Linked DNA regions of Rattus norvegicus. The protein of the gene in region 1 purifies or fractionates together with the protein of each later gene. This does not show direct contact. Links are inferred from orthologs where the notes say so. Each region holds a gene or a part of one and is shown on either strand. Other genes may lie near its edges.

What was found.
Region 2: the proteins of Ccnb2 (region 1) and Pkmyt1 purify together in Homo sapiens (affinity purification with mass spectrometry; 4 studies listed by BioGRID and IntAct, with this or other methods). This does not show direct contact. The link is inferred for Rattus norvegicus from reciprocal best matches to the Homo sapiens genes CCNB2 and PKMYT1.

Annotation. Positions count from the first base shown.
Region 1 is NC_086026.1:79,978,770-79,983,074, reverse strand, and holds the start of Ccnb2 (G2/mitotic-specific cyclin-B2), read left to right. Parts: upstream 1-1,416; 5' UTR 1,417-1,484; coding exon 1,485-1,508; intron 1,509-3,506; coding exon 3,507-3,635; intron 3,636-3,712; coding exon 3,713-3,826; intron 3,827-4,305. UniProt on the Homo sapiens protein: Essential for the control of the cell cycle at the G2/M (mitosis) transition.
Region 2 is NC_086028.1:13,251,294-13,255,865, forward strand, and holds the start of Pkmyt1 (membrane-associated tyrosine- and threonine-specific cdc2-inhibitory kinase), read left to right. Parts: upstream 1-1,532; 5' UTR 1,533-1,753; intron 1,754-1,765; exon of another isoform or gene 1,766-1,907; intron 1,908-4,572. UniProt on the Homo sapiens protein: Acts as a negative regulator of entry into mitosis (G2 to M transition) by phosphorylation of the CDK1 kinase specifically when CDK1 is complexed to cyclins. Mediates phosphorylation of CDK1 predominantly on 'Thr-14'. Also involved in Golgi fragmentation.

The DNA.
Region 1 (4,305 bases):
TTCACCACAGTAACCTAAAGTACAGCCTATAGTTTTGGTAAAGTGCCTCATTTCATTTAGAGATGAGGTCTGTGTTGCCAAACTGGTACTGAAATCATGATCTTAAGGCTCTTCCTGCCTTAGCCTCCCAAGTAGCTGGAATTACAGGCACTGCCGTAGTACAAACTGCTGAGCACAGTTTCCTCCCCAATCCAAACCAAAGCTTCCCAGAAGGAGAAGGCTATTTGTGGCATCTTCACGATAGCAAGAATGCTGAACAAAGGAATCAGTCACAGAACTTTCATTTCCTTGAGCAAGTATTTGAGAGAAAGAACTTAATGGAATATAAATAGCTATTTCTGCTCCTTTGATTTCCCATATTCTTGTGTAATTTAGAGTGATGGGTAATTCTGCCAGCCTGTCTTCCAGGTGGGAGTGTTGGGACAACACTGGTTCTTCCTTTAGACTCAGATTGATAATGTCAGGTTTGGGTGAGGTTATGGGGGTAGGAGGGGGGCAATTGCTGTTTCCCAATAGAAGAGACTTGAACTAAAACAATGAAGACTAATGGGGATGCCTGATGTGAGTCAGGTTTTATATGAGCCTAATCTCAAGTCCTTCTGCTGGCACTGGACCATTTTCTGTTGATCTCTCCTTTTCAGGACTTTGCACGTACATCATATCACTAAGCAGTGGCTCCTGCCGTAGCATTTTTTCCTGTCTTGATCACTACCGTCTTTTCCCCAGGGTAGAGTTCTTTTGTTTCATCTCTCACTATTCTCAACTTAGGATACTCCTTATTTTTCTTTTGAAATCTTGTGCACATCACACCACCGTTTGACAAACAGTTTTTGAATCCGGTTGTATCGTGCTGGAACTCATACAAATCACGTCTAGCTTGAATTATGACTCTGCTGGGGGTCTGATTTAGAAAGACCATATATAGAACACGTTCGATCCTCAATCATCTTGTAGCCCTGAACGACCTGGAGACGATTGCTCCATTTGCCAGACCATTCCAATCCAAACTCCCAGGTAGACGTTTCCGGAAGAGGAAGTAAGGTCAGAAGTAGCATTTCCAGAATGTTCTCTAGAGCCCACTTCTACCCAATCCAGAACAAACTTGTAAAGACAACTGTCCGTATGGCTCCCCCCATCCAAAAATTAAGATAGTCTTTTCCAGTAGAAGGGAAAATTATTTTATTTAATCTCAGGGACTCGGATTTGAAAATACGACTGTAGGCTGGGAAACAGCAAAGCCCGGCAGCCTCGCTGGTTGCTATGACAAGCAAATACAAGCCGGCCAATCAGCGTGCAGAAAGGTCTTCCAGTCTAGCCAATGGGATGCGCGCGCCCTGCGTGCGTCCACCCAATGGTGCGTGAGCGGCGCGGTATTTGAATCGCGGACCCAGGCCGTGGACGCAGAGCGGCAAGGCCCTGAGACTCCCAACGGTGTCGCGGATCGGAGTGGCAGTGCCTCGTCCGCACTTGCCAGAGCGGCCCTCATGGCGCTGCTCCGACGCCCGACGGTGAGTTCGCTGGGGCTACGGTGCCCTGCCCTGCCGGGTGGCCCGGAAAGCTACAGGCGAGGCGCTGGCAGAGCCAGAGCGGTCCAGAGGCCCGGCTTGGGGTCTCCATTCCTGTCACCGCTCAGGGCTGTGCTGCTCTGGGGATGAGGACCGGGAGGAACCGGGAAGCCGCCCCGTACCATTTCGCTGCTTTTCACACTTTTCAGTTTGCTTTGTTTGAGCTTCCCATTCCCGTCTCCATACTGCCTTCCTGGCCAAGTTTATTAAAGTGTGGGTTTGTCCTCTTCAAAAACAAATAACAAAATGAAAACAAAAACCCACCCAAGTGTAATAGGAAAATTACAAAACTTGAATCCTAGGATTGCAGACAGTGGGGCAAAAGGCCAAATTGATTTAATTATCTTTTTGAGAATGAAAGTATTACTGACTTTTAGGCTTTAATTGTACTTGGATCTACTTTACCTTAGTTGAAAACAAGAGGGCCCTGACACAGCTGCCTGCCATTGTCCTGGCTAGTTAAAAGCTGCCAATTTAAGGGTACTCATTACCAGGCCTCAACTCATAAGACATTGAACTTTCAAACACGTTTAGAATTTAGCAGTGGGGTGCTAGCAATAATGACTGAACAGCTTAGCCTTAGGGATCAGAATCCTAAACAATGATATACAGTCAGGGTTCTTGTAGATGTAACTGCCACTAACAAGTACTTTTGGTCTAACTGGTTCTTTTAAATTATTTAATAGTTAAGTCTTCTATAGAGACGGGGTGCATTTTTATCTGGTCTATCCTAACAGGTCATCTTAAAAAACAGTTTTGGGGAGGTGTTTGTTTGTTCGAAGGATTAGGGACCCCCTAACTCCCAGGAAGTTAAGTATTTTTCCTCATGAAATATTTGTTATTGTACCACACAGTAAACTTTGAAGTCTGAATAGCAAGTCGTGTTTCTTAACTGTATTCCAGATGAAGGCAGTTAAGATCAAGTAACGCTAGTTTTGTTTTGTTTTTTTTTTTCTTTTTCATACAAGTCTGACTCTCCCAATACTTGAGAGGTAAAATTATTTTACCCATCCTATTGTTGGTAAAAATATCCTTAATGTGAGTCTATGCTGTAAAAAGCTGTGTTTCTGAAGGTCTTCCCTTGTGGTGCTATGTCTTATTCTTTGGTTGACATTATAACCCAAGCTAGTGTTAAGTCTGAGACAAGCAGTTTTAAACAGCTGGACCATCATTAACTATTGGTATCAAAGCTCTTTATCCTTATAGATATACTGTGTGAATGGAAGTTTCCAATTGTCTTAACCCACAAGGATCACAACAGGTTACTTAGAAGAAGTAGTCATTTAGGTGGGAGATTTTGGTGTCTCTTAAAAACTGCTTGAATATGCAAAACAATTTACATGACCAGTAATAAGATTTTTGTTTTATAGGTTAGGCAGGTGGTGGTTTGCCAAATTGAGAGTGATATTTCAAATAGCATTTTTAGATTTCCTAAAATGTACCTTTTCCCTTAAAAATAATTAAATTTTAAAAACAACAAAAGCCCAATTCTGTAAGTTTGAGGCCAGCCTTATCTACAGAGTGAGTTCCAGGACAGCCAGGGCTTCAGAGAAACCCTGTCTCAAAAAACAAAACAAATTAAGCTTTTATTTTGAAGTACATAAATCAAGTACATCATGTGTGTACAGTACGTTCATGGGCCAGAAGAGGACGTCAGATCCCCTGGAACTGGAGCTACAGATGCTGTGTGGATACTGGGAATTGAACCCCAGTCCACAGCAGGAGAAGCCAATGCTCTTAACTGCTGAGAGCCATCTCTAGTCCCACCCTCCCCTTTTTAAATAGATTTCAGCATATTTACTTTCCTCAAAGTAGTTCTGAATTTGAGAACCTGACCTCATGTGGGTAGGTATTCTTCATTTTCTCTGTATTTAATGGTTTTTTTTTATTTGTTTGTTTGCTTGTTGTCGGTTGTGGTTTTTTTGTTTGTTTTGTTTTAAGGTGTCCAGTGATTTGAAGAATATTGACACAGGAGTTAATCCTAAAGCTAAGAGCCATGTGACTGTCCGGCGAGCTGTTTTAGAAGAAATTGGAAATAAAGTTAGAGCCAGACCGGCTCAAGTGGCTAAGGTAACAAGGGCAAGGTGACAAGTGTGGAGGGGCTACACTGGCCATCTTGCCCTGCTCACTCTGCTTCTCTCTTATAGAAACCTCAGAATACCAAAGTACCAGTCCAGCCCACCAAAGCAATAAATGCCAGCAAACAGCCGAAACCTACAGCTTCTGTGAAACCAGTGCAGATGGAGACACTGGCCCCGAAGGTGGGAGGCCCTGAACTTACAGCATTTAAATCCTTTAATTTTAATTTTATGTATATGGGTATTTTGCCTGCATATATATCTGGGTACTGCGTTTGAGTCTAGTGCCCTAATGGTGGGACTGTGGCGGGTGGAGAGAAGGCATCAGATCCCCTGTAACTGAAGTTATAGGTTGTTGTAAGCTGACACATGAATGCTGGCACCAACCTCGGTCCTCTGCAAGAGCAGCCAGTGAGTGCCCTTAACCTCTGAGTCATCTCCCCAGGCCCCCGCTTGGTGATGCTTCAATTCTACCTCCATTAATGGTGGTCTCTGTGACTGAGTAGCTCAGCTGGAGTTAGAGTCCTGAGCTAAGGGACTTGGTTACTTACCTGTTTTCCATAGGTTCAAGTGTATATGTGCTCTCCTACATAGTTACTATAAGATAGCCCCCCCATCTCTGTCTCTGTCTCTCTCTCCTTCCCCCACCCCATGTGTGTGTG
Region 2 (4,572 bases), on another chromosome or scaffold:
CTCCTCCTCCTTCTTCTTCTTCTTCTTCAGATTTATTTATTTTATGTATAGGAGTACATTGTAGCTGTCTTTAGAACAGGGCTGTGAGCCGCCATGTGGTTGCTGGGAATTGAACTAGAGCCTCTGGAAGAACAGTCAGTGCTCTAAACTGCTGAGACATCTCTCCAGCCTGCCTTCCTTCTTCCTCCCCTCCCTCCCTCTCTCCCTCTTCTCTTTCTCTTCCTCCTCCTCCTCTTCCTCCTCCTTCTTCTAAAGGGCCTGGAACTTCTGATATCTATTATGGTAGCCTCAAACTAAAAAAATTCTCCTGCCTTAGCCTCCCGTTCCTCAGTGCTGGGGTTACAGAGCTATATACCACTATACCCAACTTTTACTTATCGTTTATTTGATTGATTTTAAGATAGGGGTCTTGTTATAGTGCCCAACTGGCCTCCAGTTCCTGGGCTCATGTGTTCTTTCTGCCTCGGCTGCCTCCGTGCTTGGGGTATAGGCATGTACCATTGCAGTATTTTTAGTTATTGTGTTTGTTTGTTTATTTGTTTGTTTTAATCATTATGAATTAGACTTTGAGGAATGAATAGTTAGAAGTGGGCAGGGCCTGTCCAGAAAATGGGGCCGGCAGAAAGTAGTTCTAAATAGTTGGAGAGGGACCTGCCTGGGGTCCTCAACAGGGACTAACCCAAGTCACAAGGTTCTGGCTCTCGGAGACGCTAATGCAAAGGGAAGGGCTTGGAAGTGTGCTGCTCTTGATCTTGGGTCTAGGTAGGGCCTGGCCTTCCTTCCTAAGAGATTGCCAGAACATTTTAGGGAGACTGGCTGTAAAGCATGATACCTCACTTCTACATGAAATCGATAAAGGTCCCTTTCCTGCAGAAGCAAGCTCCATCCCACGTTTGCTCACGCAGGCCTTCTGCAGAAATCATCTTAGGTTCCTTGGCTCCACGTCTCGAAGAGAGGTGACAATCTCAAGCTTGGGAATGCCCAGCATATACCGGCAGTTATGAGGGCAGGAAGAGACTGAGAGGGGTCTGAGTTGAACACTAAGTTCAGAACTAAAGGATGTAAACTGCCTCAGAAGTAACTGAAGTAAGGAGACTCCACCTTAGACGAGGCACTCTCAATCGCGATCCTGTGGTGAAGAGAACAGGTATCTGAATGTGCAGAAGATCATGCGTAACGGACATTTGATTGAGCTGCCCCAGTGGCAACTTCCTGAGGAAATGCCCCTTTTATGGATATGAATATTAAGGCAGCCAATGGAGAGCAGCGGGTAGGAGGACCATAGTTTGAAGGCCGACAAATGTCCGGAGGACACCGACGGGTCAAGGATCATTCCCACCTGGTCTCTAGGACTAAGAATTTAGCTACCTAGTCGGCAATAGTCCCCGAAGAGGTGCGCCTGCGCAGGGAGAGCGCTTGGCCAAACCTCGGGGGCGGGGAGACCTCGGTGCGCACGCAGGACGCGAGGCGGAGCCAGTGCCCCGGGCGCCTGACCGGCTGTACCAGGAGGGGGCGGGGCCACAGACGAGCCTGGGCGGGGCCTCGAGGCCGGTTTGGAATTTTTGGCGCGAGCTGGCTCCGCGCGCGTTCACGGGCCGTTCCCCTTCTTGGAGGGTGCTTCGTCCTGGTGTCCAAAGGCCCCGCTGCCCGATCCCGGCCTGCCTGGCTTCTGCGAGGTCCCCAGCGGCCTCCGCCGACCCGGAACCTGGGACCTCGCTGCTGCGCCGCGCTGCGCCCCGCCCAGCCTCCCCAGGTGAGCCCATACCCGAGTGAGATCTCCCGGCCGCGCCGCTCTTCTGCCCGGCGCCCTGGCCCGCGCTCCTGCTGCACTGCGCCCCGTGACGGACCCCCAGCCTCCCCTCAGTGTCCGGTCGCACCCCTGCAGCAGCCCCACCCCTCCCTGTTTGTCACGGGCTCGGCTAGCCCTCAGATGACGCCAGGTCAGCGCTGTCGTCCACGCCCCGCCTACTTCCCCCGGGCCCTCTGTCCCTTCCCACTGGGTCTGCCCCTCTCCCCCCCACCCCCCGCCACTCTCTGGGAAGAGCCCCTTGACCTAGTGACAGCCTGTCTACGCAATTGTTTGTCAGAGTTCCCCAGCCCACTGAGCGAATTTAGCAGCGGCCCTGCACGAGAGGAACTCAGTCTAAGCTAGGTGGTGGTCATCAGATGTGTCCACAGCTCAGTAAGGGTGAGGCCCCTGGAAACCTCGGAGGTCTCCTGGCTGACTGGTGGCTCAGGACCACTCTGGACTCAGCCAGGACTCCACTACCAACCCTTTTCACCCCATAAAGGCTGTTTGACCAGGCCAGAGGTATTATAATGTAAATGACCAGTGACTTTGAAACGAAGATGACATTAAGAGGAGAGAGCCTTTCTGGCTGAAGACAGAAGGTGATGGACTCCTAGGTGCTAGGCATGGAGTCTGTATTCCTTCTTCCTTTAAAAAAAAAGTCTTCTTGTTATTTTTTTTAACATATGGGTATTTTTGTCTGTATGTGTGTTTGAGCACTACGTTTGTGCCTAGTGCCACATAAGTCAGAAAAGGGTGTCAGAACCTCTTGGAATTGGAGTTGCAGATGCTTATGATGTCAGTGTGTCAGAGAAACAAACCTGGTCCTTTGGAAGGGCAGCAAGTACTCTTACCACCCACCCCCCTTAAGGTTGTCCCTTCACAGTTGTAGGTTTAATTAATCAGCATTATCATGGATCGTGACAGTCTAATTCCTTCAAGAAGACCTGGGATGGGATTTGTGTTTGTTATCTGGGGGTGAGGGGGCATCAAACCCAGGACCCTGATTGTGCTAGGCAGGTACTCTTATCACTAAGCTAAAGGCCACCTCTGAGATGGGATTCTTGAAGTAAATAGAGCCATAACAAGAGAGCCTTCCAGCCAAGCCTCTTAATTTAAGTACCTAACCTAAGTAGTAATTTGATCTACCCAGCACCAGAGGCTAGGTGTGGCATCTTTTGATACATTGTGGCTTCCCCAAAAATGGACTCTTTCTGTTGCTTTCTTACCTTTGTTTCAATTACAACATTGTAGCAACCTTCTGCCCCTTCTGTCCCCCGGGCACACAGTTAGTTAACTGACACGGTTACACTACTATACTTGAGTCATTTCAACTACTATCTAAAGCACTGATTAAGACAGCAGTTAGCATTCATGCTAGACACCAGTCTTAAGTCCTTCAACGTTCTGTATGTCCGTGCAGAGCAGATTTAGGGCCTGGAGTTAGATTAATAAGTTAGTTGGTTTAGCATTTGCCTAACATGAATCATGCCCTAAGTTCAATATATAGCCCCACATGTAGTGGGACATGGCTATGATCCTAGCTCCATAGAGATGGTGTCAGGAGGATCAAAACATCACAGTTTTCCTTGACTGCACAGCCAGAGAGCTTGAAGACAACCTACACTAGAGAACCTGTCTCAAAACACAAAACAAAACAAAAATAAATCTCAGATTTAGAAAGCGCAGATGAAAGCCTGAGGTGTAGTCCTGCTAGAATGCTTTCCTGGCATGTTAGCCCCTTGGTTTGACCCATAGTGACTAATAGCTTTTAAATAACAGTTTGATCCATAAATGAATAAACATCCTAAGAAAGCATATATATATATATATATGTATATATGCTTTATATAATATATATGCATATGCTTTTTATATATAATGTATTATAATGTATATGTGCATATATATATATATATATATATATATATATATATATATATCCCCACCCCTGGTGAATCTGGGGCATCCATTCCAAGATCAAACACTAATATTTCTGTCCTTGAATGTCAGCTAATGGTGCTAGCTCATGCTTGTAATTCTAGCACTCAGAAGGCTGAGACAGGATGATTGCTTCAAGTTCAAGATCAGTCCAGACTACATAGACTTTTCTCAAAACAAAACTATAAATTTCTGGGTGAGAAAACTAGATAAAGTTGATTTTTTTTTCCCCTGAAGTAAATTTTTTTTTTATGTAGCTACCCAGTTGTTGAGAAGATTCTGCTTTCCTGTTGGATTGTTCGGCATCCTTTTTGAAATAAGCATTTCCAGCTCTCTGGAGGTTGAGGCAGGAGGCTGCTCAAAGCCAGCTTGAACTACATAACGAGTCCTGTCTTGAGGGGGAAAAAACACAAAACAAAAAAAAAAAATTTTAAGACAGGGTCACTCCGTGTAGACCTGGCTGTCTTAAAACTTGCTTTATGGGCTGGAGAGATGGCTCAGCGGTTAAGAGCACCCGACTGCTCTTCCAGAGGTCATGAGTTCAATTCCCAGCAACCACATGGTGGCTCACAACCATCTGTAAAGAGATCCGATGCCCTCTTCTGGTGTGTCTGAAGACAGCTACAGTGTACTTATATATAATAAATAAATAAATCTTTAAAAAAAAAAAAAAAAACAAACTTGCTTTATAGACTAGACTGGCCTTGAACTCACAGATCAGCCTGCTTTAGCCTCCCAAGTGCTGGGGTTAAAGGTGTGTGCCACTGTGCTCAGCTTCAAAGAAAAAATGATTTAACCACAAGTTTTAGAACCCTTAGTTTACCCCCTTCATCTTTATGCAA